Linked DNA regions of Callithrix jacchus. Each later gene encodes a partner of the first gene's protein in a complex. Links are inferred from orthologs where the notes say so. Each region holds a gene or a part of one and is shown on either strand. Other genes may lie near its edges. The genes, in order: PTH1R and PTH.

Region 1 (4,364 bases):
TCACGCACCCACAGCTTCAGACCCATGAACTCACACAGGGACTCAGACACTCACAATCACGTAGACACAGATAAACACCATGCCCAGAGTCCCACAGAGCCCCGCTGTGACATACAGACACCCATACAGACACATACATACGCTCAGGACACCCATACTCATTACCCTGTCTACCCCTCACACTGTCACATGCATGCATATGTGTGCACAAACCGAACTCCCAGGGAGGTGGAGGGCGGTTCTATCCCCTGGCATTCATCAGTGTTTGGAGTGTCTCTGCAGAGGGTGTTGAGCTCCTCTGAACCTCAGTTTCCCCATCCACAAGGCCTTGTATGGGGCTGTCTTTGGTGGGAAGCCTTTGCCGGGGCCAGAATTGTGGGGGTGTAGGCACAGGTAAGTGGGAAGTGCTGAGGACCACAGAGGAAGGGAGAGCCTCTGATGATGTGATTCTCAGGCAGATGTTTCTTCCAGGTACTCTTTTTAGAGATGGGGCAACTGAGGCATGGAGGACAGCCCAGGCTTACACAGGCATCGTACAGAAGCGAGGAATCCTAGGCTCCTGCCTCCCGCCTGGAGCTCTGCGCTGCGTAGGGAGCTGCTGCTGGTCAGGAGGCGGAGGCAGCCTGCCTATCCAGCTCCCCAGCAGGCAGCTGCCCCGACTGGGGAGCTGGGAAAAGGGGCTTTGAAGTTAGGCACGCAGGCAGACAGCTTCCTCAAGAACGGGCTGGTCCCTTGGGACGGGCTGCTATGGGATAGGACTGAGGGGCTGGGACAGCCCCCTTCCCAGAAAGTGGCCCCTAGACCCTGGCCCAGGAAGCGGAGGTGCTGCCCGCTCTGTCTCCAGCTCTCTGCCTCCAGCTGTCTCTTCCTATTTTTCTTTGCTGTTCTTGGTCTGTTCACCACTCCAGCTCCTGGGATCTCTCCTCCCCAAGCTGCTTTGTCTCTGTCTCTCCTCTCCCTCAACCCTTCCCTACCATTCTGCCTTTAGGTCTCCACTCTCAGGGAGCGAGTCTTCCCAGGGGTCTCCTCACTTCCTGACAGGGTATGCTGTGCTTCTCCTACAGGGGTACGCTGTGCTTCTCCTACAGGGGTGCACTGTGAGGTCAGTCTCCTTCAGGGACCTCCATCCCTCCTCCATGCCACACCACACCCACCTCCTCGGGCAAACAGCTTCTACCCTGGCTAAAGCCAGACATGAGAAAGTGTGTGTGTGTGTGTGTGTGTGAAGGCTGGAGGGGGACCCTAAATCCTACCCCCTGCCTGGATGATTCTGACCTCAAACCTACATTCTCTATGTCTGGGATTGCAACAAAACTTGCAGAAAACAGAGGTCCTCAAAGCAAAGTCTGTGGGAGTACTGGCAGGGCCAAAGCCCAGCCTTCTGCTGGGTCACACTGTCATCTTCCAGGGAGAAACAGCTATGGTGCTCACAGAGGCAGAGGATGGGGAAACCTCAACCACAAATTTCCAGATCTGGGACTCCAAACGAGGCTTCAGAAATAGGGAGGCTTCAGGCAGCTGGAACCCGAAGTTCAGACATCCCAGAGACAGCAGGCACCCAGGATCCTGGATCAGAGGGGACTCTCACCCAACGTTCGAACTGCAGGGGGAACTCAAGACTGCGTGCCCTAGACCTATCCCGGGGACCCCAGGGTAAGCCCGCATCCCGTCCCGGAGTGTAGGCGGCGGGGGACTCACCAGCGCGTACGCGGAGCTGAGCACCGGGCAGCAGAGCAGGAGCGCCAGGCCGGGTGCGATCCGGGCGGCCCCCATCGCCACCGCCTAGGGCCGCGTCCCTCGGGGCAGCCGCCGCCGCCGGCCCTGGTGGTGGTAGGGGGTGCAGAGCTGCGTCAGGCCGGCCGCCCCGCCCACGCCCCGGCCTAGGGGACCCCGGCGTCCGGGCGGCCCGAGGCCCCGGGGCCCGGCGCGGGGCCCATGCGCTGAGGGCGATCGAGCGAGCGAGCAGCGCAAAGGAGGGAGGGAGGGACCGGAGGAAGGGAGGGAGAGCCAGAGGCCCGGCGGGCGGCGGGCGGGCGCCGATCGCTGCGGAGCGGCCCGTCTGCCTCCGAGCGGAGAAATCACATCCATATGGCCGGGCCCCCCGCCCCCGGCCCGCCCCCCGCCCCCCTCCCGCGCCGCCTTTTCTTTCTTTCTTTTTTTTTTTTCTTTTGGGGAAGTGGGAGCTGTGGCTTCGCCCCACGCCCAGTGGGGGGAGGGGTCGGGGTCGCGGTCTGCTGGGGGCGCAAAGGACTGTTATTTTTAGCTCTGCGGCTTTCGCCCGTAGCAAGTCCGGACCGGGCAGGGGGCGCGTTCTGAGCCGCGCGGGGCGTGCAGCTAGGGAACGCGATCCCAACTTTGCAGCCACACTGAACCCTTGGGTGTTCCGGCCGCCAGCCCCCGGCCGCTCGGCCTCCCGAGACCCAGCCCCTCGGCAGCCGCCTCCCGCACGCCTTCCCCATCCTCGGCCCGAGCCCCGCTTGCGCCCGTGCGGCTCGGGCGCGCCATCGGCCCCGACGCTCTGTCGGTCTGCCTGTCTGTCAGTCCGTCTCTAGCTCCCCCGGCCTTGGCCTCAGTTCTTCCAGCGGCCCCAAGCTCCGTTTCGGTCACTCCCTCTCTCCCTCCCTCCCACTTCTCTCTCTACGAAAACATTTGCAAGTTTTCAAAAAAGCCACCGAGCCGAGCGGCGCGGGGCTGGCGGCTCCCCTGGGTTCCGAGGAGGCGCCGCCGACTGACACCGAGACAGAGCAGCCTGGCTGCCCCGGTCAGGCCCGGAGTCGCTCCTCCCCGACTCCCGCCACTTCCCCTCGGCGCGGGTCCCCAGCCCCGACTTACTCTGAGCGCGCCGCCGCGGCCCCCGCCTTGCCATGGATGTCGGGGCCCCCCCGACAGCCTCCCCAAGCCAGCGCCCCGTCTGCGGCCCCGGGGGGACTTCATGGAGCTCTCAGGATCCCCACCCCGGCCGGCCTGGCCTCCAGCGCCCCCCGCCCGGCCGCCGCTCGGAGCCACCGCCCGCCGCGCGCGTCCCTCGCCTCGGCGTCTGCCTCTCCCCTCCCCCCGGCCGGGCGCCTCTTCCCTCCCCCGAGCCCTCCCGGGCCTCTCCCGCCCTCACCCCCTCCGCCGCCGCCGACGCGGGAGTGTGGAGAGGCCAAGAGGAGCCTGCCGCCCCCTGCCCCGGGACATTGCGCTAGAGGCCGAGGCCCGGGGTCGTATGGCGGCGGGATGTGAGTGCTGGGGACGGGGCGGGGGCAGCGGTGACAGCAAGACCCCAGCAGGGAACCGGGACGCCGCCGCTACATTCTCTTCTGGAAAGCACGGGCTTTTCTTCTTTTTTTCTGATCATCCGGCCTCCGCTGGCTAATAGGGACCCTCAGCCGAGAAGCAAGGCTTCTTTCTTCACGGGCGAATCCCCTAGGGAGGCCGCCGGGTACCCCGCGCGCCCCCCGGCGCGGAGCTGTCAGTGCGCTGAGCTCTCGTTCGGGCTGGGTCGGGGTCCCTGGGGAGGCCACTCGGCTGCCAGCCCGGACCCGGGCTTGGCCGCCGCCGCCCTCCCCCACGTCCAGCCCCACCCTCGCCTCAGTCCCATCCTAGGCCGGCCGTTCTGCTCCGCGGTAGGCCGGCCCCGACCCCAGCCAAGGTCTGCAGCCACACATCCCGCTCCCTCCCTGCTCAGCGGCTCTTCGGGTCTGGGTTTCTGAGTCTCCGAGTCTCGACCCATTCGGCTGCTGGCCGGGCCTCTTCAGCTCGCCCGGCCCCAACCCCGGCGGCTTTAGGCTGCCAGACCTGGGGCTCAATCCGGACACCCACTCTAGGGCTTCACCTCCCTCCCGTCTCCACCCCTATTCCCAAAACTCTCGGCGGGCTCGGATCTGCCTGGGACCCTCTACTTAGGGGAAGGCAGGGAGAAGTCCTCGGGGGCTGGGGCTGAACGAGGCGGGGTTTCTGTGCTTGGCTGGGGAGGGCACACTGGAGCTCTAAGAGGAGGGACCCTTTGACCCCAAACCTACCCCCTCCCGGTACCAGGTGGGGAAACTGAGGCGGAAGGAGGGGCCGGGGATGCCTGGAGTGGAGGGCTTTAAGGATGGGGGAGGAAGCCAATGCTTGAGGACCTGGGAAATATCGTTTGGGCTAAGCAGCAGCCTGTGCTTGCCTGCTCACCAATCTTGTGTCTCGGACACTACCACTCTTCAGCTGTCTGGATCTTAGTTTCCTCATCTGCAAAATGGAGAGTTTGGCCAGCTGATTCAAAGGCAATGTTAACTTTCCTGTTTAGTATCCACGAGGTTGGGCGTCCTGGCCCATGGGCTCCAGGGGCTCTCCAGACTCAGCCTGTGGACACTGAGCTCCTCAGAGCCTGCAGACCTGCC
Region 2 (4,594 bases), on another chromosome or scaffold:
ATAATAAACACTAAATAGATATTTGTCAAACAACAGATAAATGAGTGAAATTTTCTTCTAATAGATATAAGCTTTCTATTTCTTGCAATTTTGAGTTCAGACTAGAACTATGATTAGTGGGTTTTTATGCAGAGGCAAATACTTCTGCAAGTTTCAGACCACTTTTGCCCCCTTTTTTGCTGGGCATTTTATTTCTTTTCCTGAAATCAAGAGGACAACAGTATTTAGCTAGTGAAGATTTGGGAGCCCAAAACCCAGTACTTTGGTAAACTAAAAGGATGATGTTAAAAGTATCCAAATGTGAAACACATGATTAAAAAAATACTTTGTATTGTTCTAACCATTCATGGTCAATGTAAACATTGGGGTGTAAGTCATAACCAAAAAGATACTTGCAATGAGTAAGAAATACTTCATTTATTTAGACTTATAATCATTAATTTTTTGTTTTAATTAAATTTTAGGATCATTAAATTTTAAGGTAGAAGAGAAGTTTGAAAGTGCAATTTTATTCTTTTAAAAATTATGCAACAATGTACTTTAAAAAGAATAAACAATAGAAAAGATTAAAAGAGCTCTTAAATGAATAAAAGTAGAATCAAAATAATCAATTTAAATTGCAGCTATCATGGCTAGTGATGGATTACATGTAGTTTGGTGTGTCAGAAATATTGGCACTTGGAAATCTTAATAGACAAGAAAATCTTAATAGAGCTTTGAAAAACTAGCAGCATGGAGTACTGTTGCCCTACACTGTCTAGAGCAGAACTCTGACCATATCTGTTTTCCTTTTCATTGGGATTTAGCTTTAGTTAATACATCCACATCAGCTTTGTCTGCCTCTCCAAGACTTTTTTCATGGCTCTCAACCAGGACATTGTCTTCCTTTCTTCGGGGCCTTTGGGAACCAGCATCTCTGGGAACTAGAGGAGTACCAGGGGCAACAAAATTGTGCACATCCTGCAGCTTCTTACGTAGCCATTCTACTCTCTCCATCGAGTTCAGATGTTTTCCCAGATTGTGCATAAGCTGTATTTCACTCACAGATCTCTTCCTGGGAAGAAGAGAAACAGAGGGGGCCATTTCCCATTAGCTCCCCACTTCTAAATGATAAAGCCAACATTAAAATCCAGTTCCCAGGCAAAACAGTACTTACTTAACAGATTTCCCATCCGATTTTGTAAGAAAACAAATTGCCAACATGACAATCATTACTTTAGCCATGTCTTTTGCAGGTATCATCTTCACTAAAAAGAAAAGCAAAATGGAGGTATTTAAAAAGATTTTTAATATTTCAAACTATAGTAATGTAATAGTAACTAATTGGGTTGGTTTTCACAAGAAGCTTTTGGAATCAACCTCTTTATTTTATGGATACTTTAGTATACAGAATATATTTACACATAATTTGACTTAGAAATTAGTGTTATGTTCCTAAGAATCTTTTGGAGATTTCTTGCGCAAGCTTTACTATACAAATCTTAAGCCACCAGAGGAATGAAAGAGCTATTTTTGAGACTTCCCTCCTGCACTGCATTTTATGTTGATTATTCCTCAGTGCTTATAATTGCTTGAAAATGGCTAATTTTCTTAATGGGGTAAACTGTTAACACTTTATTTACTTAGCAAATCCTTTTCTTAAGTAAACTTCGTTTCAGGCATTGTAATAATAAACATAAATACCAAACTAATAGGTGCTGTTTTAGAGATTTTCAACTAAATTAATACATATTTCTCCTAGTGTTAAAAATAATGTGTCAAATTATTTTAAAATCATCTAATTAATTACTTGTGATGTGGATTTCGAGCTTCATCTCTAAATGGAATCCTTGTTTGTATCTTATTTCTTCAACTTATTTTATTAAATTATCTTTTAACATAACTTTTTTCTCTTTCCTTGTTTCACATCAGTATAGGATATTCTTGTTTTAATCTGCATTTTGGTACTTGCAAAGGCTGTTATTATAGAAGTGCTTTACCTTCAGCTCAGTATGCTACCTTTTAACATGCACTTAGAGTAATTATGTACTCCTGTTTTACAGGGAATTTGTATCATTTAGAAGTAGCATAGGAAATATAATCTGCTACATTTTTGTTTACAATATAAAGCTATTGATGGAGCAACAGATAAAAATTTTATTTTTTGGTTATGTTAGAAACAAGCACTGTAGCTAGAGGACAGGAGCACTGGAGTCTAATCTTAGCTTTTTCACATTCACCTAGTGACCTCAGGCATATCTGCTTTGCTTCCTTAGGGAAATGGGCTTCTTATAAGAATATCATGAAAAAAAAGCTGAAGAATTGTTGCAGAACACCCTTAAAATTCATGTAATACAATTTCATGAAATTAAAGAAATAAAGTTTTCAGAATAGAACTGTCATTTATGTAAAGGAAATACATATTCACTAGTCAAACTGAGCTTATCCAACTTTAGTATACAGATTGGGCTCTTTATGAGCCATAAAATAAATAATCCAAATAAGAATACTCTGCAGGAAAAATAGAATATTAACTCCACTTAATACATTTATAGTGATTATTTAAATCAGAACTATTCATTCACCATCAGCCTGTTTCATTTCAAAATTTTGATACCGATACTATTTTATTAAAGCATAGCATGACAAATTTTAATGATTTTTTGCTGTAATTTCAGATAAATTTTTAAAAAGCAAGGTATCTCAGGAGACTTTAATCACAAATTATTTTGTGATTTGAGAGTATTTTAGAAGTATTAATTTATTTTGTATGTGGCATTTTATATTAAACATAACTCAATCCTCTTAGCATTTTACCTTGAAGAAGCAACATGGTATTTGTAGAAAAGGAACTCATTAAATAACTTGATTATCAAAAATCTCCTGAGATTCAGAAGTGAATTTTTAAGATTACTTACCACACAGTGTCTTAGAACAATATCTTCTTTCAGGTATCTTTCAGGTATGTTAGTAGTGATATTGAGTAAACTAAAGAAGACTGATAAACTGGTCTGCAGACCCTTAGATGTGACTTTTATATATAGGTCTTCTGCTTACCAAGAGAGGCTCTTTTATTGTTACAGATGATGTCACTCCCAATTCACTGGATCTCAACTATAGGTTCAGAGCAGCCCAATGTGCACACCCATTGGGCGGTGCACACTTTTCTCAAGTTTCGGGTAACTGGATGCCAAAAGGGAAACAGCATTTGACCTGAAAAGGGGCTAATGCAAAGACTTTCAACAAATACAGAATTATACCACCTAGAAAAATTCTACCTGGATTGATGAATCTGAATTATACTGTAAAAAAACTGATTTCAAAGGTTTATGATAAACTCATTATCATATTTGAAAGTAAAATCCAAAAATAAGTACATATGTTATAACTATGCTGTTGGTAAAATTTTTACGGTAATAAGTCATAAACGTTATGCTTATATTACAAGCCATATTCAGCCAATTCACATCACTTCTGGTCATCTTTCAAAAAAACAGAAATAACCCTTTTCTTAAAGGAAGTATTAAAAACAATTTGAGAAAATACTGTTAGCACATAATAACTTTAAAAGCTTCAAAACTGAAATTATTTTAAAATGTATTTAACTTATATTTTATTTGTGCATTTTAATCTCTAATAATAATATTTGATAAGCACTAACTGCATGCCTAACTACATATATTATCCCACTAGATCTTCACAGCAGTCCTTTAAAGTTAGTACTCAAAATACTAAAGGAGGTTCTTATCCCCAGTGTTGCATAAGAAAACTTAGGCCAGGAAAGCGGAAAAGATGGAATTCAACAGAAATCTTTATGACACCAGATTCTTACTACCTCAGTTTCTGCCTAGAAATATAGCCCTTCTTTTAACTCCAGTCTTCTTGACTTTAATTTGCAAAGTCAACAGAAATCACAGCAAAAGCTCTTTGCAACATTTTCCCCCAGGTGTTAGGTCTTTATTCTCATTTTCCCTAGGGGATGATGAAAACCTGCTCCAAAACCTAATGGAGGCAGGATGCTGTCACCTGTCTGACCGCAAATATTGCTACAGCCTGGTCCACCTATCAAAACCCCTTGAATGTCCTTGATATATCTAAGACTCATTTAGGCAGCTTTGCCTTCCCACCAAAGATCTGGTTCCAGAGTGGGATCAGTTCTCTCAGCTCTGGTCCCATCCTGGCTCCATGTAATCCTTTTTCTTAATAGCCATTGCCCAGGTTTGACTCTACCTTAGGCAAGAGCCAGTACACATTTGAATAGTAACTATATGGAGTGTATAATGAGAGATATATGCTAGTCCTGCCCCAGGAAATTGTCTACACTGGGTAAACCTCACTTAGAGCGTTGCTCCACGCTCCATTTTAGAAGTAGTAGAGACAAATGGGAACATATACTAAGGATACGAATCAGTTTGGTCAAAATGTTGAAAAATATAACATGACAAGTAGTTGAATGAAACTAGGTAAGTCTGAGGAAAAAAAGAGGATGACTTTATAGCTATGTTTAATTATTTATAGGGCTACCATAAGGAAGAAGGAGTATTCTCTGTCATTTAAGAAGGAAGTACTGGGTTCATTGAGTTTAATTTGCACATTATAATTGTCAAAATAAGAA

Evidence for each region.
Region 2: the proteins of PTH1R (region 1) and PTH are in contact, whole or in part, in a cryo-EM structure (PDB 9JR3), measured with the Homo sapiens proteins. The link is inferred for Callithrix jacchus from reciprocal best matches to the Homo sapiens genes PTH1R and PTH. Residues at the interface, in NP_000307.1 of Homo sapiens: Val31, Met32, Thr33, Lys34, Glu35, Gln37, Ile38, Leu41, Glu111, Trp112, Asp113, His114, Ile115, Ile135, Tyr136, Asp137, Phe138, Arg146, Arg162, Thr163, Ala165, Tyr167, Val171, Leu174, Thr175, Glu177, Glu180, Arg181, Phe184, Leu187; in NP_000306.1 of Homo sapiens: Ser32, Val33, Ser34, Glu35, Ile36, Gln37, Leu38, Met39, His40, Asn41, Leu42, Gly43, Lys44, His45, Leu46, Asn47, Glu50, Arg51, Val52, Glu53, Trp54, Leu55, Arg56, Lys58, Leu59, Asp61, Val62, His63, Asn64, Phe65.

The regions. Positions count from the first base shown.
Region 1 is NC_133516.1:29,547,838-29,552,201, reverse strand, and holds the start of PTH1R (parathyroid hormone/parathyroid hormone-related peptide receptor), read right to left. Parts: upstream 3,040-4,364; 5' UTR 2,833-3,039; intron 1,822-2,832; 5' UTR 1,774-1,821; coding exon 1,699-1,773; intron 1-1,698.
Region 2 is NC_133511.1:79,442,741-79,447,334, forward strand, and holds PTH (parathyroid hormone), read right to left. Parts: upstream 3,085-4,594; 5' UTR 3,037-3,084; intron 1,248-3,036; 5' UTR 1,243-1,247; coding exon 1,157-1,242; intron 1,055-1,156; coding exon 793-1,054; 3' UTR 399-792; downstream 1-398. UniProt on the Homo sapiens protein: Parathyroid hormone elevates calcium level by dissolving the salts in bone and preventing their renal excretion. Acts by binding to its receptor, PTH1R, activating G protein-coupled receptor signaling.